Linked DNA regions of Nothobranchius furzeri. The protein of the gene in region 2 purifies or fractionates together with the protein of the main gene of each other region. This does not show direct contact. Links are inferred from orthologs where the notes say so. Each region holds a gene or a part of one and is shown on either strand. Other genes may lie near its edges. The genes, in order: lsm8, sart3, lsm4, larp7 and tut1.

Region 1 (6,665 bases), on a different chromosome or scaffold from region 2:
GTTTCCAGCCGTCGGGACACCAGGTTCGCTGCCGATACGTGAAATGTTTTATTTGTGTGTGGCAAGGTGGATAAACGAGGGCCCAGGCGGAATTCGATCCGCAGACTCCCGGGTGAGAGTTATACGCTCTAACCAGTCAGCCAAAGGGACATCCCCTTGGCCAAGTAGCCAGGGCGCATGATCAATCGGGACATTGTGACAGGACGCTCACACTGTCCTTCTGTTGTAGGCTTCACCTAGGGGGTGGATCCAGGAAGCAAGTTTAGAACATTCTCTCCAGTGGTCATCAAAGGTCAACCTGTAGAAACTGTGGAGACATATAAATATCTCGGGGTGTACCTCGACGATAAGTTAAACTGGAAAAGGAACAGTGATGCTGTTGTTAAAAAGGCCCAGTCCAGATTGTTTTTTCTTAGGAAGCTAAGATCCTTTGATATAAGTAGGAGGCTCTTGAATGTGTTTTATCAGGGGATTATGTCCAGTGTGTTGTTTTATGCTGTGTTGTGTTGGGGCAGGAGCCTCATTGCTGAGGACAAAAACAGGATCAACAAAATGATCAAGAAATCTGGCTCAGTGGTTGGGCAACGCTTGGACTCATTTGACATGATCATCGACAAAAGGATTAAGCGTAAACTTAAGACAGTTATGACTCTGGAGGATCACCCCCTTCACCACATTTTTAAGGATCTCGGGAGCTCTTTCAGTGGGCGAATGTTAACGCCCCGGTGCTCCACTGAACGTTTTAGGAACTCTTTTATTCCAGCTGCAGTGCGTTTTTACAATGACCATTTCGTATGATTGTATATTTGATATTTTCATATTTTATTAGGACCAGTGAATGTTTTATTGTGTGGATGTGCATGTTGTGTTTACTTGTCCAAGGCAATTCAATTTCCCCCTTGGGGATTAATAAAGACAACCTTGAACCTTGAACATCGGGGCTCTCCTGATAAATTCCTGCTTGACAAAGCGCTCCCCTCCTCTCCCGGCTCCACGAACGATTCTCAAGTGGATTCAATCGCCTCTAATCCAAGCGAGCATCGGCAGTCAATGCTAACGATTGTCCATAGGCAGCCCCGATTAATCGATGCTAGACAAATGAGAACAGGACAGATCCTCATTCTTCTTCCAGATGGAGAAATAATTACTCATTCATGACTAAAGATATCAGAACTAAAATAGAGACCATGAGCTGTTTGAACAAAGCCGTAGAGTTGGCGCTATTTAATGTTTCTTTGGCAACGATCTTGTTTTTCCACATATTTTATTAAAGTTTCATTGTTTATGTGTTGTTTTCTTGTTCTGCTCCAGAGTCTGGATGTTTAGAGACCGGAGGACTTCATTATAAACAGCTTAACAAATCAGACTTTATTAAAATGATCTCAGACTGACAAAAACATGAAGTAGAAAACAAATCCAACATGTTATTTATAAAAAATACAAACAGAAACAGAACAATCGAGGTTCTGCAGCTTCACCACTCATCACGCCTCCCAGAACACGACAGCAACAGAACTGAGCTGTACTGTGATGGGTTGCCATGGAGACAGCAGGGTTCAAAGGTCAGTGTACAACAGAGTTGAGCGGCTCAGCTCTGATGTTCCCTAAATCCAGCGTGGAGTCGGTCTCCTCATCAATCTCCCCGATCACGGCGCTGGAGCAGAAACACGAGAAACGGTTAGAAGCTGTCCGAGGAGCAGCCGAGCTCCCCGTGCACCGGGACGTCCTTAGGGGTCATCATTTCTCATTTAGTTTTAGTTTGACCGAGGTGACTCACACGTTGTCTCCTCTAACGATGTAGAGGCCCAGCACCACCTGCTCCACCCCCTGGTTGGAGCTGAACACGCGCTCGTGGCTCTCATCCAGGATCAGGTTGATGGTCTGATCAAAGCCCTTCAAAGTGCCCTGAACACCCAAATGATAAATAAATAAATATAAATAAATAAGTACAGCACCTTTCAGTCAGAGGATTCCAAAGCAACTTAATATTATTATTCATCAACACGCTGGTGGTGTTGAGCTACAATGAATCATACTTAAAACAACCAGGCTAATAAAATACTAATAGTTCAGATTACACTTGAACTTTTATTTCAAAATGATTTTCAGTTATCTGCAGTTTTATGCCCCAAAACAGTAAAAATCTGACCATAAAAGTAAAAACGTGTCTGTCAGCATCTGTAGTGATGGGAACAGGACTAGATTTCTGGATTTACAGTCGAGGGAAAAACTAAATCCCCTGTGACCGACACCGGTTTAAATGAGGCTTCGGTTCAGGTGGAGGGGAAATCCTTGTGCTGGAGCCTCAAACATCTAAACACCAGAACCGTATCATCTTCTCTGCTGTCCAGCTGAGCTGAAAACGTGAACTCACCACGATCATCCTCCCGTCTGAGGTGACGATGGCAACAGTTCCTGGATCAGCTGGAGTCAAGGAAACATCATCTGTGCACAACTCATCAGTAAATTACGTCTAGCTTCTCCGTTTTCACCCGAACAACAACGATGGGTGTGCTTCAGTTAAATAACCCGACATCTTAAATCAGAAACAAACTAAATATATTTTATTCACAACCCGTGAAACCGAACTAACGCAGATCAGAACCGTTAATATCTACGTTTTGACGCCATCTGATCATATAAAATTCTATCAGTGATTTTTTTTTATGCAAACACTGATTTGAAATTGAACTGCTACGTAAAAGTTATTCCAGGTATGTTCATTCAGTTCTAAATAAAAATGAGTAGTTTTTTTGTCGCTTTAGCTTTTACCGTCTCTAAACTCCACCTAAACAACAACAAATTACATAAACATCGAAGCTAGCGCGCTAAGCTAACTAGCACTTCTTAAGCATGCAGTTAGCATGCTAGCAGCAAGATACGGTTGATGTAGCTCTCCAGCGCGGTGGACATGCTTCGTCCCGGACTCGGTCTCTATCTGTCCAGCAGAAAAATCGGTAAATCCCTCCAACGGTTGTCTATTTGCGCCGCTGTGTAAAAAAATAAAACGGAAAGAGCATCAAACCGCACCGCACCAAAACACCGGAGACAAGTCAAGACTAATCATACGCCGAATCATCGCGCAGGAAGGGGCGCGGAGGGTCGAGCGGTGACGTTTTTTTTATTCAAATTCCTCCAAATGTTATCATCAAACATTGATCTGGAAAGTTGTTTAAACGTGTGAGTAGGTGATGTCAGAGCTACAACCCTAAAGACAAAATATTGGGTACAGAAATGAAACACACTATAGCCCTATCAGTGGCGCATTTAGCAATTTGGGGCCCAAGGCGAGCACAGACATGGGGCCCCCTTAAAATAAATTTCGGCAATCTTACTTTTAATTGGATTTACAAAACTCTCCCCTCTTCTGCCATGAGTTATTTTCCCTTTTTATTAGTCCTCCTCTTTATTCATGTCTTTCTCTCCCTTTGAGTGCCTCCAATATTTGCTCTGCTTTCTTCTTCCTGTCAGTGCTCCTGAGCTTTTGCCTTTTTTAAATTTATTTTTCATTTTGGTCTACGTTTTCCTCCCTTTAAACATTTTCTATTGTCTTTCCTTTTCTGCTTCCTGATGCTCGAGCATCCGACAGAGGTGGAAAGTAATGAATTACATTTACTCACGTTACTGTAATTGAGTAGCTTTTTTGTATATTTATACTTTTTAAGTCATTTTTAAAATCTGTACTTTTACTTGAGTAAGTTTTTTAAAAAGAATTGTAATTCGCTACATTTTAAATCATATCCGTTACTGAGTAAAAATAAATTATAGGCTTAATAAATTAAAAATATTACGTGAAGCAGCGTCAGAACGGAAAGAGACACCTGCATGAGGACCGCATCTAAACCGGGGGTGTGTGGGGGTGTACACTTTTGCTCAAAGACATCATCAGTTCAGTCGATCAACTCGCTGTTTATCACCTCTCTCCCTCCTCTCCTGTGGTTGGAACCTGCACCTTCGCGCACCAGTGTGACATCATCAGAATTCTGCTCGGTTCGGTAGCGAGACTCGGTTCCGTGTTTGAAATGTGTTTCCCTACCGCTCCGCACGGCAGCGGCAAAATACTGTTTAGTGCTCATAACAAGCGGATTATCAGCGCTTTGCTCATAAACAGAAGAGCTGCAGGCCTCTGTGAGTTAAAACATCATGATACTGTTCAGGTGTAAACATTGTGCTCCATCCCTGTGTTTGAACTCAGAAGTTGCTCCTTGATGCCACAGATATGTGATGATTTAGCTTGTTTCTTTATTTTACTCCAGAATTAGAGATTAAATTATTACTAAAGCAATTCAATGTAGTTAAATTAGTCATGGCGTGCGTGTGTGTGTGTGTGTGTGTGTGTTACACATATAGGACTGCATGAGACAGCGTGGTTTCATCAAATCCATGCATCTCATATCTTGGGTGAAGTAACGGCTCAGGAAAATAACATATATTTCATAAATAATGACGTCTCTGCAGTGTTTATGATAATGTTTTATCTTATCTTTGGTCTGGGAGGTGTAACTTATCATGATACAAGCCTTTTAAAACATGTTAAAGTGTTACAAGAGGAGATAAATGCATGAATTTAAAGTTCATGTTTGGAGGCTCACGCTGGTGAGGAGACACCGTTAGTTCTAGTAACACCTGGGCTCCCAAGGCCTGTTCTGACAGGATGGATGTTACGGGACCCTTAAGGATTCCAGTTGGATGATTGGAGGATTATTTAGGAGGATTGAAATGAACAAACTGATTTCAGTGGTGAAGGGTTAAATGAGTGAGTGAACCCACTGCCAAGGATGAACTCTGCTAGCTTTAAAAATCAGCTGCTCTAAATAAGCATGAAGGTCAGAGAGGATCTCTAGGATGGACATGGATAAAGGAACTGTAATGTAGAGGTAAAGTAGGGCAGGGCCAACGTTAGCAGCTGTCATACGGTCCATCTGACATGTTTGACTGCATTAGGCTTGCTATGTGACAGGTTAGAGCACAGTCTCATGTTAGAGTTTTGTCATGAGGACATTGAGATACCTCACATGCTGATGGCATCTAAAAAAATTATTTTTTCTCAAAATAAAGAATAATTTGAATCACAATTGAAACTTACCATCCTAGAAAAACCTCGTCCAATCAATGTGCACGTCCTGTTCTCACTGATTGGATAGAAATCCTTCCTTCAAGCCGTGCGTGTTTGAGTGTGTGTGTGCGCACACACAAGCGAATTGTGAACTGCCGTTGCGATTTAGCACTACTTAGATGTAGCCATCCTTACGCTGACAAAAATGTAACTAAGTAACTTTTACTTTGAGTACATTTTGTTTACGATACCTTTTACTTTTACTTGAGTAAAAATTTAGGCAAGTACTTTTACTTGTAATTGAGTAAAAAATTATCAAAGTATTGGTACTCGTAATTAAGTAGGAAATTTTAGTACTCTTTCCACCTCTGGCATCTGACCCACGTGACCACAGAGCTAGCTCCGTGGAAAGGCCTCAGTAGAGCCTCGGTCTGGCCTGGAAACTGCTCCGGGATTTTGAGTCTCTGTGTGTGTGTATTCTTTTTGGATATTTTTTGTGTAATTGTTGGACAAAATGACTTGCTGTGGCATTAATTGCACTAATAGAGCGTCCAAGGAGTCTCCACTTCATTATTTTCGGTAAGTAAAATTATATTTATGTATTTTAGGTCACTGCTGAGCTGAGCTTAGATTTTAACATGTACTGTTTAACCATGAAATGTAAATGTAATAGGGTAAAACCCAGTGCATTTAACATAATGCTGCACTTTAGAAAATGGGTTGAAATATAACATGTTGGTGGAGCTGGGTTCCCACTATCGGCTTGTGGAGCTCTCGGGAGACCGATGTTTTCCACCCGGTTCTTCCCTCCCCGCAGCCCAGCACATCTCTGTCTGATCGCGTTTTCTGTCTGCTGTGCAGCTGCCGGCTTGGGGAGCTCTCGGAGACCTCTGTGTTCCACCCGGTTTTACCCAGCGGTCAGCCCGGCGTATCTCTGACTCAGAAGCTCTGATGTTGTGCACAGTTAACTCCGGTTGTAGCTAGGTTGCTACCTCCGTTAGCTTAGCTCCCACCTCCGCATTAGCTTCAGGTTAGCTTGTAGCTAGTTCGACCAGGTGTTGTCAGCTGATCCCAGCCTTACAGCCCCACCCTCAGCTCCACCTCTCTTCCCTTTTATGGAATTGTCTGGGCTTGACGGAACCTGTGACACGGTCAAAACGGCGGTGGTGGCCACCTCCCATTTTAGTACAAAAACTTATTATTGGAGTCTATGGAAACCCATTGTCCAAATTCAATTCAATTCAAAAATACTTTATTAATCCCAGAGGGAAATTGATTGATATGTATGTCGATGGGACTACCGCTTCAAGTTTGTTATGAACACTCCCGTCCCGCCTCTCTTCATCTGCTTTCTCTTCTTATTTGTGGTCTCATGGCACTTGGCAAATAATAATTTGGTGTATTACTGCCACCAACTGGATTGGAGTGGAATGACTACCAATCGTTTTCCGTTTGTGCATCGGCATCTTAAAGGAATAGTCCATTGTGGAATTAATTGTGGGGGCAGCAGTAGCTCAGGTGGTAGAGCGGGTTGCCTCATGATCGGAGGGTCATGGGATTCGATTCCAGCTCCCGCCAGGGGTAACCTGCTGTTGTGTCCTTGGGCAAG
Region 2 (4,888 bases):
CAGAAGTGCAAATCTTATGAAGAAGCTCTGGTAACTGAACACTTATCTTTTTTTTAAGTGGTTTGCACAAAGTGTTTTTGCAGCGCATGTCATTTCTGCTATATCTTTCTCTAGCTGGTAGCAGAACCTCCTAAACTGGCAGAATATCAGGCCTACATTGAGTTTGAGCTAAAGGAGGGGGACCCACCACGGATCCAGATTACCTTCGAGCGAGCTCTGGCTGAGAACTGCCTGGTTCCAGACATGTGGACTAAATACACCACATATCTCGTGAGTATTGGTTACTGTTCGCAGTCGTGTCATTACAGCATCTAAGGTTTCAGAAGTAAATAAATGAAAAAATCACAGCTAGTCAGAGTGTAAAAGGTCCTTACTGGTTTTACAGGATCGTCAGCTGAAGATCAAAGACTTGGTTCTGTCCACTCACGAGCGAGCGGTCAGGAACTGCCCGTGGACCATGAGTCTGTGGAAGAGCTACCTGTTGGCCCTGGAGAGGCATGGCAGTGACCATCACACTGTGTCAGGTAGCGGCTAGGTTCAGCATCAAGTCGACCAGTCAGCTGCTTTATTAGTGTCAAGCGTTTGTGAAGCAGATTGATGTTAATCTCTTCTGCACAGATGTTTTTGAGAAGGCTCTGAACGCAGGCTTCATTCAAGCCACAGATTATGTAGAAATTTGGCAGGCCTACCTGGACTACCTGAGGAGACGTGTGGATTTCTCTAAAGGTGAGAGCAGATCTGTGTCTAAAACAGTTGCTGTCTTTAAGTTTTAGTCTGATGGCTTTTGTTTTAATTTATTTTGTTTCTAGAGTCGAGTAAAGAGCTAGAAGAGCTACGAGCAGCCTTCTCTCGGTCTCTGGACTACATGAAACAAGATGTAGAAGAAAGTAGGCGAGCTTCACTTCCTCTACTCTGGACGTTCTTCGGGCCTGGTTTTGGTTTTCACGCTGCCATCTTGTGTCTCTGCAGGGTTTGGTGAAAGTGGAGATCCCTCTTGTGTCATCATGCAGATTTGGGCACGGATAGAGGTAAGATCAGTCACCGTGGCAACCATTTACAGACGCCGGTGTCAAATAATGGAATGACAAAGAGTGAATGAGGCATCAGCTGCTGCTAGAGCGCTGATTTTCTTTAGTTAGATGTTATAAATCTGTTTGTACTTTTCAGTGAAGACTAAAAAAAGTTTGCTTTTTTTTAAATTTATTATAGAAATTCTCATGTTCTTCTTACTTTTCCACCAGGCCCGCCACTGCAAGAACATGCAAAAAGCCAGAGAGCTATGGGACAGCATCATGACCAAAGGGAATGCCAAATATGCCAACATGTGGTTGGAATACTACAACCTTGAAAGGTTTGTCTGTTGGGAGTTGGCGATTCTCTCGTGACTTTGTGAATATTCTCTCATTTCTATTGTTCATGATCCGCAGGGCCTACGGGGACACTGCTCACTGCAGGAAGGCTCTTCACAGAGCTGTCCAGTGCTCCTCGGACTACCCAGAACACGCCTGTGAAGTCCTGCTCACGTTTGAGAGAGTAGAAGGTGAGCTTTGCCCCAAAACAAAGCAAAGGGAGAGTGTTTTATTATTTATTGTTCATGTGTACCGTATTTTCCGAACTATAAGTCGCACTTTTTTTCATAGTCTGGCTGGTCCTGCGACTTAAATACCAAATTATGTATACCGCGCTGCTGCAGGCTGGCTCCGGACCAGGAATGAGCTCCCCTGCCCTGCTGGGAGGGTTTCAAACACCGCCATCACCTGCTGGAGACCGTGGCACGCTGCTGCGCCCTGATTGTTTTTTCTGTTATTGTTACCAGTACTTGTCTTGCAATTTGAAATGCTTGGTCTCAGATTTTGTAAGAAAAATAATAAAATTTCCCCCCAAAATGCGACTTATATATGTTTTTTTCTTATTCATTATACATTTTATGGCTGGTGCGACTTATACTCCGGAAACTACGGTATTTAGTGACAGGATAGAGGCGTCATAATTAAGATTTATTACTGGAGGAACGACTCAAGTGGATGATTTAGCATCTTTGCAGCAAATCCAACTTACATTTCCCAACAGTTGCACTCTCATGTAAGCAGTTAGTTGCTTAAATGTTTCTGTCGTCATGCAGGAACTTTGGAGGATTGGGACACGGCGGTGCAAAAGACGGAGACCAGACTGAACAGAGTTAATGAACAACGAGCGAAGGTAGAGGCACACGTCTCTGCTGCAGAGGGCAGGCGCGTCGTTCGGCTACGTTTGGTTAACGTTACCGTACCCCCCCATTTATCAGGCGGCTGAGAGAGGAGCCACCCAGGTCCGCCAAGAGGAGGAGAGGGTTGAGCAGCGGCGGAAGGCCAAGGCAGATAAGAAGTCTCAGAAGAAGGTGCAAAAGGGTCGAGCTGGAGAGAAGAGGAAAGCGGGACGGGATGACGATCAGGATGAATGGAACAAGGATTCTGGTAAAATTTAGTTAGTGATAAAATGTTGGTTTTAGCAAAATGTGTTTTATTAATTCTTTTTTCTTTCAAGCTCCTAAAAGGCAGAGAGCAGGCGGCGACAACAGCGCTACAGATGAGTTCATGGAGACGGAGACCGAACTCTTAGGGAGAAACGCTCCCCCTGGATATAAACCCGGAGGCGGCACTAAAAAGCCCCAGCAGGAAGCAGGGCTCCCCCCCCGGAACCAAAACGACGAAAAGCCGGAGCTGCGAGACGATACCTCCAGCGTGTTCATCAGCAACCTGGCGTACACCATGGAGGAGCCCGAGGCGAAGCTGAAGGCGCTTTTTGAGACCTGCGGTCCGATCAAGCAGATCCGACCGGTCTTCAGCAACAAAGGGAGCTTCAAAGGTTACTGCTACTTACAGTTCGAGTCCTTGGTGTCGGTCTCCGAAGCGCTGAAGCTGGACAGACGGGAAGTGGAGGGCAGGCCGATGTTCGTGTCTCCCTGTGTGGACAAAAGCAAAAATCCTGACTTTAAGGTGAGTAAATGTAACACATAACTTCTGCCTGGAGGTCCACATCTGGAACATCTTAATCTGCTTCCTTGATATGTGGCATTGATTGAGTTAATCCAGGGTTTGTGATGATTTGACTGTTTTCTGAGGATGATCAGGATTATTTTACAGCTGTTTTAACGTGAAAATAATTATTTTGAGATGCTGAATAATTAAATGACAGACTTGTAAAAACACACAGATGTGCTGAAGTCTCTCTGCAGGTTTCCCATCATGATTAAGCTCACACTTATGTCTCCTCTAGTTTGAGCTCTGACTGGCGTTTTTTGCAGCTCTCATCTTGGCGGTGATTCTGCAGCCTGTTGTTTTCCCGTTAATCCTGCTTTGATGAAAGCTTCAAACTGGGGATTAAATCACATAAACGTCCATCTGATTGTCCTCAAGTTCTGAAAGTTGGGTTAGAATCACACCCTGATGTCTGGATGTGAATTTCCTTACAGGTGTTTAAGTACAACACGTCGTTGGAAAAACACAAGATCTTCATCTCCGGGCTGCCGTTCTCCATCACTAAAGAGCAGCTGGAGGAAATGTGTAAAAACCACGGCTCCGTCCGAGAGGTCCGTCTAGTCACATATCGCTCAGGAAAGCCTAAGGTGAGACTTGGGAGGACAGTAGGGACTAAAGGACGCCCGATAATCAGCACCTGTGGTCCTCCGGCTGCTGAGTGACGTTTGTTGTGGATGCTCCGCAGGGTTTGGCGTACGTGGAGTTTGCTGATGAAGCGCAGGCCTCTCAGGCAGTTCTGAAACTGGATGGCATGGATGTGGAGGGCTGCAAAATCTCTGTTGCTATAAGCAACCCTCCTCGTAGGAGTATGATGGACAAGCCCGGTTCTAGCCGGCCCGCGGCGGATATGATGTCCCGTCAGGTCTACGGAGCGTACGTGAAGTCATTCCTTCTTTCTGGTCTTCCTTTGAAAATCCCACCTCAGACCTCATCTGTTTAACCCTTTGATGCATAATGGTCACTACAGTGGACAGGTACTCAAAATTGTTATTTATTTGTTTTTGCTGTTAAGCACAGCTGTTGAAGACTTTTTTGCATGTGAGCCCCTCCGTTTGGACTTTAGTAAGCCAAGCCAACATATTTCATGCTCTGAATGCACGCTGTCCACTGAGGTGGACATGTAATAAACTATTTGTAAATTATAAAATTTTACAAAAAATATTTGTTGAAATTTGTTTCATCCACACCTAAAGATGAATGAAAAAAATTGTTAAAAAAATCATGGTTGAAGATTTCATAATTCATGCATCAAAGGGTTAAAATGCTGCCTGACTGAACCTGCCTGTGTAATAATAACATTTTAAATAAGCCTTTATTGTGTTCCATTTTAAGATATGAGCGGTGCAAACTGCTAAAACGCGTTACTTTCTTAGCATATTTTGTGTTTTCTGAAGTTACTCTTATGGAAAAAATCATTTTTCTTATTTTAGGAGAGGCAAAGGGCGAACTCAGCTCTCCTTACTCCCTCGTTCCCTGCATCGTCAAACGGCGCCTGTGGGTAAAGTAGAGAACGGGACTGCGGCTGAGCGAGCGACGGCCAGCACGGCGCCCAACGCCGCCGGGGAGTCCAGATCTTTGTCGAACGCAGACTTTGCCAAGATGCTTCTGAATAAATGATACAAAGAGGAGAAAAACAACCGCCTTCACACTGAAAGCCATCTTGTGTCCTTATAAAATAGCGTTGGTGATTTTCCTGTAACTGTTTACCTGAGCGTCCCTTTAATCTGAGACATGGTTGCCTTAATCGTCTTGCTCCCGCGTCGCCAACAGGAACAAACCGGAGAGTCTGGTTGGATGTGGCTGTTTTATTAAGTGTACGATATTTGTGTGTAAATATACTTTAATGGAAGCTGTTTGCTTTTGTTGTGAAC
Region 3 (6,744 bases), on a different chromosome or scaffold from region 2:
AGGCTAAAAGGAAAGCTGAGCTGGAGAAGATCAGGAGCCAGAAGAAGAAGTTCAAACAGAAAATCCGGGAGAGTGTTCAGAGGCAGAACCACGGACAATTAAAAAAGAAAGCGATGAAGAAAAGACAGATAAAAAGGAAGAAAGAAGCGGAGTCAGCTGCATCGTGAAGACAGCTTCAGCTCCAAATGTTTTTTGCTGCACCTGCAAATGAACATTCATCTTTCAAACCGCTTACATTAACAATCTTTGTTGATTCAGTTTGAACAAGTGAACCACCATCTTGTCATGAAATGTCACTGCAAAGAAGACTTCAGGCTTCAAATATGTATCTACAGCTTATTGATGCCTCAGTCCAGTTTAGCTCCAGCTGTGTGACAAAATCGGTCGTTTTGGATCTGACCTTTAGACGCCACAGACTCAGCATTCGTCATTCTATCGGCTCTATAAAAGCAAACATGAAAATGATCAAATTCACCTGTATTTCCTCTGTGTGTGTGGGGGGGTCCTTTGCTTCGGGGGTGGTTGTCAATTGTTGCTGCCTGGGTGGGGCCTATGACCTCCCTCCCGTTTTCACCCTGTGTGGGTACCTCGGGTGCTGCGGTGGGCTTGCTGCTACCAGGTTTGATGGCTCCTCTGGTGGTGTTTTCTTGCCTTTCCATATCTGGTTCATCTGAACTCGACCCATTATCATTTTTAATGGTCGTCTTCCACACGATCACATATCCCACTGCTCCAGGTCTAGATCAGGGCTATTCAATTGTTCTAAAATCTAGTTTTAGTTTGAAATATGGAGGCCAAGGCTCACGGAGAAGAAAGAAGAACCTGGTCTTAAAGGAAAAAGCTGCATTTCTTAAAAATTAAATATAGTGGGAAAAGTTTCATTGAGTAGTTTCAGAAAGTGAATTACAGAATGAAATTATTTTATTAGTAATATTGTATCGACTATAGAGATTAAATATTGGAGACTCATGTCACACCCTAATCAGCTTATCACCCACAAACACCTGTAATGGTTTCCTGAGCCTCAAATCGGCTGTTAATCACATTGATTCAAACCAGGTGTGTTGGTGCTGAAAACATGCCTCTGGCATTGATAAGGTGATTAGGATGTGACGTCATGAGTTTACTATATTTCACTTTTCCACAATATTCTAAATATCTGCTAAACTTCTAGTTTTTATCATCTGTAGCCACAACGGCTCAAAAATACAAAAAATTTAAAGGTCAAATGATCCAATTCTGTGATTAGTCCTTAAATTTAACTTTCTGCTGTATATTTTATTCAGATTAAGTTTGTGTTACTTCCCCTTTGGGCCTTCTGCCCTTTTACTGCTAATGAAAGCTGCTGGCTTTAAGGCCATGTCCAGTTTAAACACACCTGTTGTAAATAAATGACAATCAGAAGATTTAAAGGAAAACTGCAACTGCTCAAACAAACTTTTATTCTCGTAAATAAATTACCATGTCGTTTGTTACAAAAATTAAGCGAAACACAATCAACCCAAGGAAGTATGGACTCCTCCATGTTGGACTAGAGAATAAGAGAACGTTTTATTCTTTTTCAGAAAGCATAATCAGTGCATGCCGTCTTATAAAGGTTTAAACAGAAATATTCAGGAAGTGAGTCCTGTTGGCTGTCGCTCTACTGCTTCACCAGCTGTGGTTATAAAGAAAATCTTTCAGATAACAAAGCTGGAAGTAAACTACAGAAATGAGGAAAAAGCCAGTTAAAATATCTACTAAACTAAATTTGGGCCTCGACTTTTCTACACCAATAAAAAGGATTTAAAAAAATCAAACTAAAGTATTATCTGGCAACAATCGGTTGTTGTAAACATCACAACAGAGAGAAACAGCAGAGTTGATGTCATTGTTACTGAGGCAGACGTCCCTCAACAGGAAGTGTTTAAAACAAACGAAGCATCATTGTGTGTCAGTGCTGGTTTTTCATCCCCTGTGGTTTTCCTGCTTTCTTATCCTGCTGCTGCTGCTGTCCTCGACCAGGCCCAGACATCCCTCTCCCACGACCACCAAACACACCTACAGGAACAGCTGTGTTCAGTCCAACAAATCAATTCTACATGAGTTCAAAACCAACCTGATCAAACGGCATCCTTCACCTCGGCCGGGCCCTCCTCTTCCTTTGCCCTGTTGTTTATTCTGCTGAGAGCCGCCGCGACCTCGTCCTTTCGACACCACCTCCTCCCTCACCATGTCAATGATCTCATCTGGGATACGCAGATATTTGATGGTGCTTCCTCGGATGTAGCACTCAGGCATCCTCCAGAATTTATCTCCATCCTGTAAAAAGATGGTGAGAGTTTCTGTTTAAATTAAATTCCTCAATTAATAACACTTCTATTTTGCATTTATGTTAATTTACCTAAAGTCTAGCACAATAAACCCGACTGAGGGGATAATAGGCAAATGATCATGTTTAGTTGTGATCACCCATCTTTCTTTTGTTTACATGTACAAAAACACCACAAAGCTGCACAATTTAAAAATTATTACAGTCACTGATGGTCCAGTTAGCGCACTGTGTCTGTTCTTACAGTCACTATGAATCAATCATTGTATCTCAGCTGTTGTCTGAAGCTGTTCTGATAGTTTCAGTGCAGGATTCTGCAGACTTCTCAGTTCACATAGGCAGGCTGTCCTTCACAACACAGTTGTGCAAATATACTGTACATACAAATGTCTCATGAGAGACCAAATATGAAAGCACATTAAGCAAATTAAAATATTTTGGTATTTTCCCTTTGTCAAAAGGTCACATTTTATTAAAGGGAGAAGCATGTTTCACCCTGGATGTGCAGATGACTTCTCTCAGGTTGATGTTCATCCAGTTGTCACAGCTGACCAGGTGACCGTTGTAGGTCTCTCCATTCTTCAGCTCCACCAGCTAATAAAGAGCACACTGCTTTATAAGCTAAAAATCATACAATGAGCAAGTTCTAATAACAGATCAGACAAACTAAACTAAAGTCAAGAACAAAAAATTAGCTCTAATCATTAGCTAATTAGAGTGTGACTCTTTGAGGCTAGAATATGAACCTTTTCACAATATTCTAGTTGTCTGATATTTTGAATGTGGGGTTTTGATAAGCTGTAAGGCAAAATCATAACAAATATAACAGATAAAGGCCGAAACATCTGGCTTTGCATGTAATGAGTCCATCTCATACATTAGTTTCACTTTTTAGTTCAATCACTGAAATAAACGACCTTTTGCACCATACTGTATTTTTTTTAAGTTTCACTTGTAATTTACTAAAGCAGGTTATTATTTACATAGAGAACAGATGCTTCTTCACATAACTAATGACACAGCCTAAAGGATACAATATTGTAAAGAATATCAGACTTAAAATCAAGGTTTTGCCTCACCATGGGATGATTCTGAGCGGTCTTTAAGAGTGACAGGGGAAGCTGAAAATAAAACACCAGATTGAAATCTAATTTAACAGAATAGACCTCATTTACAGCATTATTTCTGACGCATAATAAACCGCATGAAACCAAGAATCCAGAGTCTACTGGAGAGCAACCACCCGATCAGAGGCTCTTCACCACCAACATCAACAGTTTTACCTTCAGACAGGAGGCACACACTTTCCCACAGCCACCAGACTTCTGAACAGCTGAGCTCCTGACGCTTAATTTCTACTTGGTACATTAACATTTCAGTCTGATTATTAACCTGTTTACTTTGTACCTTTATCTGATACTGGGATTATAATCCGCCTTTAACTAACTGATACACGTTCCAGCTAATGTGGGACATTACTTGCACAAATGTGTGCAACAACTCTGCATAGTTTCTTTGCAGTTCATATTTTGATTAATTTACTGTATTTTGCATGCTTCTTTAACTTTTTAAAATCTAGTTTTTACACCCAAACGTATACATTTGGCATCCAGTGTGAGGAACAAGGTAATTTTTGCTGTTCTTATGAGAATATAGAGTAATTCACCCCGAACCCATAAAACTACAGAATTAAATCAGGTCATTTAAACACGTTTATAACACAACAACACTTCTGAAGTTGTGGTAGGTCTACTGGCTCCTGAATAAAGCTAAATGTTACGGTTTATTTTAGCTACATGCTTAGCATCTTAAAGCTTTCACTTCGGTATAATTTATTAAAAATGTTAACACGGTTTCCGTCAGCCGAACCAAAGATGACCTATTAAAGAATACATTCTCAACTACCCACAACTAGAGGTTAGATACTCACCATTATGACGGTTTATAGCTTGTTTTACGCGGCGAACCTAAGGCTGTGGCGAATGGTCGAATCCAGCTTTCTTCTTCTTCTGGCGGTCGAATCCAGCCTGGGGAAAGGATTTCCTTTTAGCCTTCTGCGTTTTCTTATTCTACTACAAACGGCGGCTTCACCACAGCACACTGCCCCCTAGCGTCGAAACCTGCACTTTCTCTCCGCGCGTTTTATTTTGTGGCCACACTGAGACCACTGTTTAAACTTAAAAGTGTCTGAATAGATCATTTTCTTAATTATGAGAACAAACAAGAGTCTTCCGAAGGAGTAGTTTGAAACCAGCAGAAAATATAAACAGTGCTAAAGTTTCATTGGTAAGTCACTTTGATCAGAAAAGCTTTTTTACAGTAATTTATAACACATAATTATGAACACACTCCATATTTTAATCAGTTAGAACGTGATGAGAATAAATGAGCTCAATAAGTAAAAAATTTTTTGTTGATACTTCATAATTTATTTATTGGTGAAGATATTATGTGATGCTGTTAATTGTATAGGCCTGACCGCAGTAAAAGGCTGCAGCAGTCTTACTAAAGCCATAGCTTTCATAAAAATTATATCAAATTATTTGTCTTCAAGAGTGAATTTTGCATAAAAAGACAAACATCTTCAAATGGGAGGACATGGCCATTGCAAAGTGGTAAATTTTGAAATTGCCCCATTATACTAAATGTTAAGAGTAATAAACCATTAGAGGTGTCAGTTAAAGATTAAATGCACCATAACGTCTATAACTAACAATGCACATTCTTGGCAGGTTGTCCTGCACAGATCCTTGGTGCTATATTTTGTTAATGTTGTAAAGTTTATAATCTGAGTTATTTGTGCACTTGTAAAGAATGAGTCGTTTCCATCTTACTTATGAACCATAAAATGTGAGATTCCATAGAAATATGAAATATCAATCTGATGGATCTTTGACTACATTTTTTTTTCAAAAAGTATATTTTATTAAATTTTCTGTGTACACCTTTTACACAGTATTATGTTGTATATTGAAAGTACATTCTGTATAAAATCATCAGGGAACAACAGAACAGTAGAACAATATAACAATTTTGGTTGTGCTTCGGCTTTTGGCGATCCTCTCCAACGTAAGAGCATATATAGTACTGAAGGCAATATGCACATAGACATGTTTAACAAAACTGTGAGCAAGAAGTCCCCGAATTACACCTCGCTTTTGCTTCTCCCATTCCAGTCTTAATGCTGGTCAGAAGACCGAGTATTTTCCTATACTCTCCCACTTTATAAGTCCTCAGATTTTTATGTCCATCTTCTTAATATATGTTAGAAAAGGTGTCCATATTTTGTCAAATAAGTGTTGCTTGGCTTTTAAGATATAAGTAATCCATTCCAGCGGCATTACCTGTAACATCTGTTTCATCCAGTTCTTCACATTGGGTCTATGGAGAGATTTCCATGCCATAGCTATATACTTTGTTGCTACTGTAGAGGGTCTGCCCTCATGAGAAATTGCTACTCAGTATTTTCTCCAAAAGACTGTGTCATTTGCTCTGAAAAGCTGGAATATGTTCCAGCGCCAGCATGCCCTCATGAGAAAATTGCTATGCAGCATTTTCTCCAAAAACTGTCATCTGCGCTCTGAAAAAGCAGATAATATTAAACATCAGCGCCAGCTACAACTTCATTTCCCATGATTCCTTGAGCCGGAAGCAATGTGATGACGTCACCGCCGAATACCGGAAACAAGTTCTGCGCATGTGCGGGAGCCACACAGTTTCTCCCGCCGGACCGCCAGAGTCTACAAAAGGGAGACGAAATGAAACTTAACTCGTCTTTTGTTCCAGCTTCAGCTGGTGGTTGAAGACACCCGTTTGCTACGGCTCCGGACAGATTGTGCATGAGGCCAGGCGGCTGAAGTGGACAACGCCGAGACGCGGAAAAGCAGCGGAAAACCATCAAATCAACGGAGAAACCATCTGACCTGCAGCGCGAACACAAAAGGGACGCCTTGGGGGTTCGCTCACGCAAGCTTTTGTTTTTTTCCTATCTAACTTCTTCTTCCGTTTCTCCTATAGTTCAGAACAAGCAATAAAACCGCGCTATTGCTTCAAATTATATCGGTTTTCTCTTCTCCGTACCAAAAACGCCATCGGATCCTTTTAAGAGTAAGCCGTTTTGTTGTTTGTCATTGTTTAATATCTTAAATAGTTTTTATGCTGTGGCCAGACTGACAAACTATCAGATATTCATTTATGATTGATCTTTTGTGTTGTTTCTTTATCTTTTTGAAGTGTTTTGAGTGAATTAAGTTTAAGTTACTGTGATTGAAAGTGCTTCGGAAGTTTAAAGTGCAAGTTGCCCACCCACACACACACACGTACACACACACACACACACACACACACACACACACACACACACTCACACACACACACACACACACACATTCTGGTTTTCCCTGTTTGGGGGGGCACACACACATACTTGTTTT
Region 4 (6,159 bases), on a different chromosome or scaffold from region 2:
TTATCAGTCTGTGTTTGTTATTAAGGAGCATACTTGGACAGAACGCGGAGCGGGATGACTTCCTCTCCGATTTTCAGCTTCTCTTTGTTCTTCTTTTTTCTCTTCCGCCTTGCTTTCACGGCTGAGTCATCACCGTTGTCTTTCCCTTTCTCAACATTTTCCTCAGTGTCACTTTCAGCGTGTGATTCTGTGGGCGGGGGGGCATCATTACTGCAACAAACCGCGTGGTTTCACAACACTTTCAACACATGCATCATCACTTTGTTCAAGTAGGTGTGTATTCTGACGTAACCACCCTCTGTACTCCCAGTGTTCGATCCCAAAGTGAATGAATTAGGCTGGTTAATGGACTTTTAATCATTCAGGTTATTAGAAAGGATGTGGTCAAAAGGTAAACACATGAACAGAGATCAATCACTGAGCATACATGAAAATTTGAGAACATTCCTAGACCGATGCAGACTGTTGTTTTCGCTAGAGGCCGACCGATATATGCCATTTTTTCTATTTCGGCCATTTGCTGGCATTATTTTTTTAAAACGATAACATTTTTTTTAAATCTGCCGCTTTTTTATTGTTTACACCAGTGTTGGGCAAGTTACTTCAAAACTGTAATGCATTATTTATAACTTGTTACCCTCATTTTAAAGAAATTCATTAAATTACAATATTACTGATTTAAAAATGTAAGGCATTACACTACTTTTGCATTACTTTAAGTTACTTTCACCAAAACAACTTCAATATGAATCTGGTAATGTGACGCCCAGTGAGCTCATGACATATATGTGGAAGGTGATGTGGTGTCTGAGCTAGGATTGCTGTTAAAAACAGCCACATATAATAACAGTGCTTTAAAATGATTGTTTATTAAATAAAAGCAACAATAATATGTACTCTCAACACGCTGCCGTCTTATATTAACTGAGCAGGGAGTGGGGTGGTGGGGGCTCCAAGCCTATATTGCCTTGGTCCCCAAATGCCTTGATACGGCCCTGGATGTGGGCCTGACTTCTGGGGTGATCTGATTCTATCACATGTATAAATATTAAATGCTTATATATTATTGCTTTTCACTGGTAAAATGTCTATTGGGGATAAATCTACCTACTTTTTTCTTTTCAAGCACTTTGTTTTGTTTTCTTGATTTTATTTGAATAATTTCCTGCCCTTTCTCTCTCTAACCTTCCTGCACGCTGCATGTTTTCTCCGTCTTCCAGAAAAACTGTTTCCTAGACTTCCTACTTTCTAACTAATCAGCCAAAGGGATCTACACATGCGCGGCGCTCCAGCAGTAATGAGTTGAAATCACCGGGGCACAGATTATGAACTCAGCTGAGGCAAAGCACGTCAGAAAAGCACAAAATACCAGAGAACATGCGCTGATATGAACGATCGCAAGTGAATTATTTTGTTTTAGTGGAGCGATTTTGTGAATGTTACAGCGGCCGCGTGCAGGACGCAGCTGGAGTATTTGAGCCGTTGCCGCTGCGTCCTCTCTGCCCGCAAAGCTGAGTCCATAAATGACGTCATATATGCAGATACTGGATCTTTCTTCGGGTTTCCCGCAATTTGAATTTTTAAGGAACACATCTTGATTCTGGGTTTAAAAATGCATTGTAATTACCGCGTTACTGACAGTTGTACCGAGTAAATATTACCATTTTCTTTCCCTGTAATGCCTTACATTACCACATTACTGCTAAAAGCAATGCATTACAGTAATTAATTACTTTTGTACCGCATTACTCCCAACACTGGTTTACACTTAAGGGAATATTCCACCCCTATGTAGCATTTTGTCTGTTAGATTTCCCAGTTAGGTTAGAGAGAAAAAGGATTTGGTAGCTAACAAGCTCAGTCATTCTGCTGATCTGGAAGCAGTAAGTTATGCTTAGCATAAAACAATGTGAGTAAAAGGAAGGTTCTAGCATAGAACAATTAGCCGCCGACGCGAAAAGAAAGTTTGATTACGTTTAAGGTTTTTTTTTTTTTACGTGCTAAGCTTCCAGAACACATCAAACTCAGCAGTTCAGGTCAGTCTAAACAGGAAGTTAAACACAAAAACATTGTAAAATGTCCACAGATTTTCTAAAGAAAAGTCAGGTGCACATTTCCAGTAGCTTAACTAGTAAAAAAAAAGTATGTCATGTCCTGTGAAACCTCCGTAGCCGAGTTTAACAGAGAAGGAAATAAACCGCAGACCTTTCTGGATGCATGCAGCGGACTTTCTCCTTGCTAGTTACTGCATGAACTTCTGAAATCACGAGTGGTGTTGCAATTCTACCGCTATTTTGTGACATCCCAAGACTAGTGGGGTGGAACACTTTCACTCCCATTTTGCATCCGAAACACTCACTGTTGGAATGATGCTCACAGGTAAATCGCCACTATTACGTTACACGCCGCACACGCATCTGTTGGAAAGGACGGAGTTGCACTAGCCATTAAAGGCCAGTTGGAAATGTGCAGTTAGATCACACAGCACAAAGCCGCTGACGTAGCAACTTTTGAGGGAGCGGGAACTTGGCGTGCCGACTGTCTCACATACACTACATCATAACTTGAGAATAATAATTGTAAACACAATGTGTGGCCAGCTACTGCTGTGCATTCATGAAAGAGAGGTGCTGCTTCCAGTCGTAATCATGGATACAGGGAAAGGGGCTCAAAGGTGCAAAACTTATTTACGACCTCCAGATGGTGTCGTCTGAGTAAAAACTCCAGATTTTTGCTTTTGGTGGGCTTTGATCCTTGATCCTGATCAAACCAGATTAGTGACTCACCAATCTTCGCTCCATCTTTGTCCTTCTGTCCAGACTCACTTTCACTTATTCTTCTAATCTTCGACGGTATGTCACCTTCTGTAGCCTCTGCCGCTTGTGAGCGGCGGCGTTTTTTCTCTGATGCTTTAGGCGGCGTTTTGTGCGTGCTGGCCACCTCTGGATCACAACCGGCAGCTGGGTCTTTCCTCTTCTCCTCAGATGGTTCAGCTTCCATCTCTTGGATTTTCTCTGCTGGGGCTCGCTCTGCTGTAACGTCCTTCTTTTTCTTCTTCTTTTTCTTCTTCTTCTCTTCTTCACCTACAGTGCAATAAAAACAAGGTGTCGCACCAACAGCGTTTAACAACCTAGTTAAGCGTTTTCCATTTGTAAACCTACGCGGTGGTGGATTGTCAGCTGGAAAAGGAATCGGCTTCCTGCAGAGGGTTTTGGGGAAAGTCCCTGGTTTCCTTGGAGCATCTTCTGGTGGATTGTTCAGCATCTAAGACAGAAAAGTCCTGTGAGGCTGAGTTTCTCACAAACAAACTACAGAGTCTAAATCGATTACAACATCCAAGTTACCTCAATGGCTTTCTGTGCTTGTTCCTCCTTTTCAAACTCCACAAATGCAAACCCTTTAGAGTCACCGGTGCTCTTGTAGCGCGGGATGCTAACGTACACAACCACCCCACACCTTGAAAACACTCGTTCTATCCAGCTGTGATTCACATCTTTAGGCAGAAGTTCCTTAAAAAATAATAAAAAATAATACATCTTTAACAGTAATGCCCTTTAAAACCACGAGACTGTCTAAATATGAATCTAACTGCGCCATTTCTCACCATGTGACATGTGTTACTGTGTTGAAAACTGTATGAAACAGTGAAAGCTTTACCGGACTTTTCCAGCAGACGCACAAGCAGCTCATAATAATAATAATAATAATAATAATAATACATTTTATTTGACAGCGCCTTTCAAGACACCCAAGGACACTTTACAACGATGGGGAAAAATAATAAAACAAGATAAACACAGTACAGAAATATGTAGAAACGCTAGGATGCTAAAATTTGAAACAATGTATTAAAACTATGTGGTAAAAGCCTGTTTGAAGAGGTGGGTTTTAAGTTTTGATTTTAAAAATGCGAGAGTGAATGGTGCGTAGATCGGGGGAAGAGGATTCCAGAGGTGGGGAGCAGAGCGGCTGAATGCTCTACTCCCCATGGTGACAAGGTGAGCGGAGGGAGCCGAGAGTTGAGGAGCAGCAGAGGAACGGAGTGCGCGGACAGGAGTGGTGATGTGAACGAGATCAGAAATGTAGGGCGGAGCCAGGTTACGGAGAGCTTTGAATGTGATGAGCACAGTTTTGAAACTGATTCTCTGTTTAATGGGCAGCCAATGAAGTTGTTGCAGGATGGGGGCGATGTGGTGAGATCATGGAGTCCTAGATGACGTGCTGCAGCATTCTGGAGAAGCTGCAGTTTATGGAGGGACTTGCTTGAGAGACCAAAGAGAAGTGAGTTGCAACAATCAACTTTCATAGTGAAATAGATGCGTTTTCCCTGTGAGCTCAGCAAAGCATCCCTTCCCACCAAGAGCGTTTCAGATGTGAAATGGCAGCGAAAGCCTTCCACAAAGCTGGTACCGCATTGTCATCGGAGAACTGCAAAATTACACCTGATTCTAGCAGTATATGAGCATCAAGCAGGAAGACGGCCCCGTGTTCCAACAGGTCAAGGGTTTACGTTCTTTAATGTGGTTTTTATTGCATCTTATTTCTAATTTTTAAAATGAGCCTAAAATTGCCAGTGTAGTGCCCTCTTAAGGTTAAAAGTCAGAACTACATTTGAATTTCAGTCATAGCTAATTGCTAAGCTGGTATTATCTAGGCTAGCCAGTATTTCTAGCATGGCCGCATTACACCGCAGATGAGTCTCGGCCTCTCACAAGAAGATACGAAACGATACGGCTCGGAGCCTTTCACCTCCTCCATTAATCCTTCTGTTTTCCTCTCCTTCCTCTGGTGAAGAAATGCTTCATACTAGGAAGCCTGCTGCTGTTTCACTATCCGAGCAACGTGTGTGTGATGTCATTGTCGGTCACTGGTGCAGTGCAGTAAGACTCCAGTCAGGGTAACTTGTACTTTAAGCAACTGGAAATTTTCACACCACTTTTATTGTGAAAGTTTCAAGATGTTTTACACTGCTTTTGTATGACTTCCTGTTTGCCCTGATGTGAACTGCTGAGCTTGATGCGTTCTGGAAGCGTAGAGAGTAAAAAGTAAGACTTGAAACAAAAATTTTGTAGAACAATGTAACACTACTCTTCAGGGACGCATTTAAAAGGCTGCATGGAAATACTCATCCACTGTAACAGCGGCTCATTGAAGGATCCCCAGGGTTCGGTCCTGGGACCAATCCTTTTTCCTTCTATATTTGCTCCTTCTCAGGCAAATTCTAATGTCACTTTTAGACCGCGACATGCAGTACTGGCGTGCTTTTAGCACCTCCTAGTGTCCACTAATAAAACAAAAAAATGAAACATTTCTCCTTGCTGTGCGTTGGTCCTTTTAACCCCTTAATCCAACAGCTGAAATGTCTCCCCAGGCTTCATTAGTGTCCACAGGGGCGATTCATTTTTGGCATCTAAAACATGCAGGAAACCTGCTGGAAGCAGACTCCAGTGAGTTTGTCAGCTCCGCTCTACTAAGTGCAACAGGAGGCGGCCCACCACTCTGAAGTTGCAGTGCAGTATTCTGGCCAAAGTGGGCGGTAGGGCTGAGTGACATTTCATTAACCCTGTAATGGGTCATTTTAGCGCATACTGGCTCAAGAAAATGATTTAAAAATATAAAAATGTTGCAAAGTATATAAAATTGATGGACGTTCAGATTATTTCATCATGTAAGACCTATAGTTAGCCGGCTCATTTAAAACATTGTACGTTTTTTGACCCTGTCTATTGAAAGAATCTAAATCACTCGAAACCAGAATTGAAACAAGTAATTGGAATCGAATGTGTTCCTATTCAAACATGTCCAACTCTACTAACTGCTGTTAGTTATGCTTTGCAGACGTTATTTGCTGCAGTGGATGTTGTTAGTTTTTTATTTATTAGTTTCAGTCTACAGTGGGGCAAAAAAGTATTTAGTCAGCCACCGATTGTGCAAGTTCTCCCACTTAAAATGATGACAGAGGTCAGTAATTTTCATCATAGGTACACTTCAACTGTGAGAGACAGAATGTGAAAAAAAATCCATGAATTCACATGGCAGGATTTTTAAAGAATTTATTTGTAAATCAGGGTGGAAAAATAAGTATTTGGTCAATAACAAAAATTCAACTCAATACTTTGTAACATAACCTTTTTTGGCAATAACAGAGGTCAAACGATT
Region 5 (5,175 bases), on a different chromosome or scaffold from region 2:
TGAGAATCAGCACTCTCTGTGCTGTCGTTTAACGAGTTAAAGGAAGCCGACGCGGTTTCTGTTCCTTCAGCCGCAGCTGGATCTTCTCTAAACACAGCATCTGCAGGAGCATGGAGGAGGCACTTGAGGACAGTTTTTAGTACGACCTCCACAGCACAACAAACCTTCTGGAACCACAGCAGCCTGAAACCATCTCCTGCCACCTGCAGCTCATCCTGAAGCTTCTCAGGCAGCGAAGTGGCCTTGAAGGGGATGCTGATGGCCAGCTGCTCTGGTTTTGTCTGCTGCACCTCCATGTGTGGGGTCAACAAGCGCACAAGTCCCCAGGACTTCCCTTTAGTGGACTTGTGCTGGTACTGTAGGCTGCGGCAGTACTTGTCAGCCTCCTGGCACTCCTTCAGGAAGCTGCGGTGAGAGCGTTCGTTCAGGTTTCCCGCCACGTTGTGGGAAAGCTCGAAGGGATCCAGGAGATTCAGGGGGCCCAGTTTGGGACCAGGCAGATGGGACTTGGTGGGTTGTTCTTCTTGCATCGTCTCATCCTGTTTATTCTGGCTGAGGAATTTTGTGATCGGAAGAGCACGTCCCTCCCTCAAAGAGATGACGCTACCGGCAAAATCAAACTGGGCGTAGAAGGAGAAGAAGCCAGCGAGCAGCGAACCTGAAGAGAGAAAACATGGAGGTTTAGTGATGCTTGGAAATGTCAGCAGGAAGCATGTTTCTGTTTTTAAATGACTTACAGAGGTCTTGTGTGTTTTTACAGGGCGGCACAGCGATCGGCTGACTTGGGAAGGTGCAGTTCCAGCCTTCAATCACACACTCCTCCTCCTCACCTGCAGAGGATCATAAAAAAACACACAGTTAAAGTTACTTTCCCGGCTCTAAGGACAACAGAAAGCCATTGAAGAGAAACTGGTTTGTTAAAACATGAAAACTAAGCAGTAAAACCTCTAAATCAGTCCTAAACTGACAGAAGGCCAGTGGAGAGAAGCTACGGCTGGTGGCATGTGCTCCTGTCGTTGACCGACGGGTAAAGGATGAGCTGCAGCATCCTGGATCGTGTGTGAACGATGTAGACATACAGAGCATCATAAAAACATCAAGAGATATGGCCTCGCCCCAGTGATAACTCTCATCACACTCATCACTAGCACAGATTAGAGACTGGGCATGCCAAAGAACACAGAATAAACAAGAATAATCCAGTTTTTAACAAACAAGTCCAGATAGTTACCTGTGCTGCTGTGTTTAACTCGGGTTAAACCGTCTGGGTGTCGAGACAAAATTCAGTCTAAAATCTATTCAGGACATAAATGTATGATTACTACTCCATCGCTACATAGGGAGAATAAAACAGCTGGAGGCGAACGGTAGCTGCAGGTGGTCACATCGACCTGATTAATCACGTCACAGAAGAGAAAACTCCATGTGGAAAATTAAACAGACATAACCAAAATAAATTATACAACATTTTAGTTTTCTGTACATTTTTTCATCTTAATCTGAGGAAAAATCTTAGTTCTAAAGATGATTTAGTCGCGCGCCCCCCCCCCCCCCCCCCCAAATAAAAACATTTTTTTTCCCTTGATAGCTCAAATAAGACTAACTCAAACCCTAAAGTATAATTTCAGCATGAATAATTTTAAACACACCCGTGCAGTTTCCACCTCACGTGTCTGCACGTGCAAACAACACCTGCTGATGTAGGAGCGGACAGGTGGGACTTACAGGACATATCTCTGAGCTGGTCCACGGTGGGGAGGACAGGAGGATCACAGTTCTGCAGGTAGAAAAAGACCAGCAGTGTCAGGGCGTAGTTGTTGAGGAGAGGACCCGAGCCACTGGGATTACCTGCAGGATGATAAACCAGGAAATGTCTGTGCTATGTCATGTTATAATGAGGCTGCTGTGTGTGACCGGACAGAGAGCCAGTCCATCGCAGGGCAACACAGACACACAGGACAAACAATCATGCACACACACACACTCACACCTAAGGACAATTTAGACAGACCAATTAACCTAACAGTCATGTTTTTGGACTGTGGGAGGAAGCCGGAGTACCCAGAGAGAACCCACGCATGCACAGGGAGAACCTGCAAACTCCATGCAGAAAGATCCCAGGCTGGGAAGTGAACCCAGGACCTTCTCGCTGCAAGGCAACAGCTCTAACCACTGCGCCACTGCGCAGCCTCAAAATACTAACGTTCAGTACTAAATTAGTTCACGAAGAAACCAGGTGGCACTGTCATTAAAGCAGGAGAGCTGCTACAGAAGCCTGGAGGTCCAAAAACACACAAGAATGTGTTTTTTCTCAGGAACGGCGATGCTTGCACACAGACCCGTATGGAAGCATATCGCTGGGCAATGCACAACAGAGGGAATGCGTTTTCATCCTGGCTGCAGCTGGATGATGGACAGATGCTGGTGCTCTGGTGTGTGTGTGTGGGGGGGTGGGGGGGTGGGAGGGGATGTGTGAACCTGGTGTGAACGAGTCACAAGAAAGATTGAATAATTTGCAAAATAAAACAACAAAGTCACTAGGTTGGCAACACGAAGGAGTCATAATTAAAAATATATCAATGCCAGTTGTGTTTCCTCGTGCTGACTGTTAAAGCTCCACCCCAGCAGGGGTCTAGCTGTCAGACGGGGTGGAGGTGTGTCCTTCACAAGCATGAAGCCAAAGCCAAATATGAGATCCAAATCAGATTATAATAAAACTTAGCTGAAAGTTTTTTTTGTGATTGTCTGGAGCTGAAATCGAAATAGCAAAAACATTTTGATTAACCCAGAGCTCTCATTTAAAATGTGTAACTTTATGAGGAGATTCTGTAAAAGGTGCTGCTGTGTTATACCGATGGAGACTGGCTTTACCTTCTACATAACCAACCGTGATTCCTGAGTTCAACTAGTCTCCCAGAAACTCAAATTCTTTCATATATTGTGTTAAATGTGTTTTGAAGTTAAAAAGTTTGTTTCTAAGACGCAATAATTTGCTTTGATTATTTGTATTTGTGGAAATTGGCCTCAATGATCAAAGCAATCGCTCCAAGTCCACAATTTCATCTTAAAATGACACTTTGAGATGTCATCACACACTCTTTAATGAAAGGTGTGTTTGCAGCACCGAGGGGGGAGTTCAAAGGAAGACACGGACCTGGAATAAAAGGTAATTGCTTTTCACAGCAGAATCCCTTTAATAAGATTTCATTTAATATCAATGCCTGCACACAAAAGGATTCAACAACAACGATCAAATGAGGATCAGACTCAGTGTAGCTCTGCTGACATCTGCTGGTGAAAGCATGAACAGGACTGCATCCTACCAGCTAACTGCTTCTGCTTGGCCCAGTAGCGGATGGTGTAGACCAGGGGCCTCAGCCTCTCCTCCACCCCTGAACACAGCTGGAGGAAACGCGTGTTCCTCACGCCAAGTCTAACAAACAAAACAGGAAAACAATAACTCCTGCATGTTTTCATTTAATTCACATCTCAGAGATGTAAAACCGTCCTCAGAGACCTGTTGTTGAGCGTGATGTCTCCCTGCAGGTTGAGCTCATGGTGATGGAACTTGACCACAGGGAGGCGAGCGGTGCTGACTACGTGGACCTTGTGCACGCTGGGGACGCAGCGCTTGAGGATGGTGGCAACCAAGTCTAAAACTTCAGCTGGAGAGGCTGTGGACAGATCGATGTCAGACAGGATGGAGTCCTCAGAGTGGGCATCGTCTGACACTCCTTCACCCGCCTGACGACCGGGCGCAGGGAGGGAATTTGTTAGAAAAATGTGACGTTTTAGCTCCGAATGTGTGAACTACAAAGATTTGCACCTAGATAAACAGTCAGACCTGCTCTGTGCTGGACTTGGCCCGAGCTTGGAACACCTTCGTGTTTTCTAGGTCCAGGAACAGGTCCAAGTCACACGAGTGGACGCCAAAAGTGTTCACAGATGAACCAAAGGGCAGAATCTGGCTGTCTGTGACCCACGTAATGTTAAAAACAGAAAAACGCTGATTTTTTTTATCATTAAGCCACAGAATCTGAATGTTTACAAGTTTTAAAGCCCTCACCTGGAAAGAATTCAACAAAAACCTCTTGAAGGAGCTGAACCAGCAAGTCTCGAGTCTTCTTTTCATTTTCTCCCAGCTGAAATCGCTCAACTATGAACTTCATCTGGGCATCCACCTGAAGGAGCGAGAAAAACTGTTTTAGTTCAATCATCTCAAAAAGAAAAATAGAAACACTTGATTTACTGAGCTGTACGACACATGAACCATGAGGATTATCATGCTGTATTTTCTTTAAATAATCTGTAATAAATATGTTGCCCAGCTGCACGGTTCATTTCTGATTATGTCAAATCAGTTCTAGTACGGATGCTCACAGATCCCAGCTGACACAAGTCGGGTCTGAGACGATCTAGGACCTGCTGGAGGTTCTGGGGGTTGTTCTTCTTCTTGGGAATTAACTTAAATTCCTTCTTTTCTCGAGGCTTGACCCGCAGCTTCAGCCCCTTCATGCGGTGCTCTACACAGGACAAAGCTGCCTGGATGCTCTCCGTTTCACTGAACTGCACGATGGCAAAAACACCCTGTGAGCACAAACACACACACCATCAGTCACTCTGCCCATGATTATAACACCCGGCCTCTTTCATGAGAAGGCTTCATCTAATAGGAAGTCCGTCCCACCTTGCCTTTGTCCATGATAACATCTGTGACGGCCCCAAACTGCTGGAAGTATTCGGAGATGTCCGTCTGAGAGATTTCAGGCTTGATGCCACTGACAAACACACTGTGCTCCTCCTGGTTCTTCCTGGTGTCTCGTACAGTCGTCAGGGTCTGATGCTTTCGCCCCTTCACATGCTGATCGACACTCGGCACTGGTCGGCAACAACATCAAAGTATTTAGTAAATCAGAGGGATTTCTACCACTTTACATCCTGATTCACTGTGTTTAATCAAGTTTTTGTTTATTCTAAAGAACTATTTCTTGCAGATTAAATTTTAAACACACAAGTTGAGATCTCCGTAAGTAAAAATGTAAAGAACAGTCTGAACGTTTTACCAGCCACCGTTACAGATGTTCAGATTTATCTTACACTAAACAAATGGATCTGTTTCTGGATTTAAAGAGCAAGTCACCCAAAAATAAACCTTTTTTAAATGAGAAACTAAAT

The links.
Region 1: the proteins of sart3 (region 2) and lsm8 purify together in Homo sapiens (affinity purification with mass spectrometry; 4 studies listed by BioGRID and IntAct, counting the BioPlex papers as one, with this or other methods). This does not show direct contact. The link is inferred for Nothobranchius furzeri from reciprocal best matches to the Homo sapiens genes SART3 and LSM8.
Region 3: the proteins of sart3 (region 2) and lsm4 purify together in Homo sapiens (affinity purification with mass spectrometry; 4 studies listed by BioGRID and IntAct, counting the BioPlex papers as one, with this or other methods). This does not show direct contact. The link is inferred for Nothobranchius furzeri from reciprocal best matches to the Homo sapiens genes SART3 and LSM4.
Region 4: the proteins of sart3 (region 2) and larp7 purify together in Homo sapiens (affinity purification with mass spectrometry; 4 studies listed by BioGRID and IntAct, counting the BioPlex papers as one, with this or other methods). This does not show direct contact. The link is inferred for Nothobranchius furzeri from reciprocal best matches to the Homo sapiens genes SART3 and LARP7.
Region 5: the proteins of sart3 (region 2) and tut1 purify together in Homo sapiens (co-immunoprecipitation; 4 studies listed by BioGRID and IntAct, counting the BioPlex papers as one, with this or other methods). This does not show direct contact. The link is inferred for Nothobranchius furzeri from reciprocal best matches to the Homo sapiens genes SART3 and TUT1.

The regions. Positions count from the first base shown.
Region 1 is NC_091741.1:34,218,713-34,225,377, forward strand, and holds lsm8 (LSM8 homolog, U6 small nuclear RNA associated), read right to left. Parts: upstream 3,539-6,665; 5' UTR 2,914-3,538; coding exon 2,883-2,913; intron 2,416-2,882; coding exon 2,375-2,415; intron 1,906-2,374; coding exon 1,778-1,905; intron 1,655-1,777; coding exon 1,564-1,654; 3' UTR 1,343-1,563; downstream 1-1,342. UniProt on the Homo sapiens protein: Plays a role in pre-mRNA splicing as component of the U4/U6-U5 tri-snRNP complex that is involved in spliceosome assembly, and as component of the precatalytic spliceosome (spliceosome B complex).
Region 2 is NC_091757.1:45,783,078-45,787,965, forward strand, and holds part of sart3 (squamous cell carcinoma antigen recognized by T-cells 3), read left to right. Parts: coding exon 1-30; intron 31-114; coding exon 115-270; intron 271-385; coding exon 386-524; intron 525-618; coding exon 619-726; intron 727-809; coding exon 810-887; intron 888-969; coding exon 970-1,028; intron 1,029-1,241; coding exon 1,242-1,351; intron 1,352-1,427; coding exon 1,428-1,540; intron 1,541-2,122; coding exon 2,123-2,199; intron 2,200-2,284; coding exon 2,285-2,453; intron 2,454-2,523; coding exon 2,524-2,975; intron 2,976-3,451; coding exon 3,452-3,604; intron 3,605-3,702; coding exon 3,703-3,890; intron 3,891-4,447; coding exon 4,448-4,634; 3' UTR 4,635-4,888. UniProt on the Homo sapiens protein: U6 snRNP-binding protein that functions as a recycling factor of the splicing machinery. Promotes the initial reassembly of U4 and U6 snRNPs following their ejection from the spliceosome during its maturation.
Region 3 is NC_091748.1:65,760,627-65,767,370, forward strand, and holds lsm4 (U6 snRNA-associated Sm-like protein LSm4), read right to left. Parts: upstream 4,382-6,744; 5' UTR 4,245-4,381; coding exon 4,242-4,244; intron 3,433-4,241; coding exon 3,391-3,432; intron 2,906-3,390; coding exon 2,807-2,905; intron 2,302-2,806; coding exon 2,121-2,301; intron 2,041-2,120; coding exon 1,934-2,040; 3' UTR 1,423-1,933; downstream 1-1,422. Other genes in the region: probable ATP-dependent RNA helicase DDX49, read left to right, coding at 1-167. UniProt on the Homo sapiens protein: Plays a role in pre-mRNA splicing as component of the U4/U6-U5 tri-snRNP complex that is involved in spliceosome assembly, and as component of the precatalytic spliceosome (spliceosome B complex).
Region 4 is NC_091742.1:73,347,820-73,353,978, reverse strand, and holds part of larp7 (la-related protein 7), read right to left. Parts: intron 3,510-6,159; coding exon 3,345-3,509; intron 3,265-3,344; coding exon 3,162-3,264; intron 3,084-3,161; coding exon 2,787-3,083; intron 188-2,786; coding exon 34-187; intron 1-33. UniProt on the Homo sapiens protein: RNA-binding protein that specifically binds distinct small nuclear RNA (snRNAs) and regulates their processing and function.
Region 5 is NC_091756.1:31,148,383-31,153,557, forward strand, and holds part of tut1 (speckle targeted PIP5K1A-regulated poly(A) polymerase), read right to left. Parts: intron 4,879-5,175; coding exon 4,688-4,878; intron 4,588-4,687; coding exon 4,381-4,587; intron 4,182-4,380; coding exon 4,067-4,181; intron 3,973-4,066; coding exon 3,845-3,972; intron 3,745-3,844; coding exon 3,518-3,744; intron 3,434-3,517; coding exon 3,324-3,433; intron 1,849-3,323; coding exon 1,726-1,848; intron 831-1,725; coding exon 738-830; intron 659-737; coding exon 1-658. UniProt on the Homo sapiens protein: Poly(A) polymerase that creates the 3'-poly(A) tail of specific pre-mRNAs. Localizes to nuclear speckles together with PIP5K1A and mediates polyadenylation of a select set of mRNAs, such as HMOX1.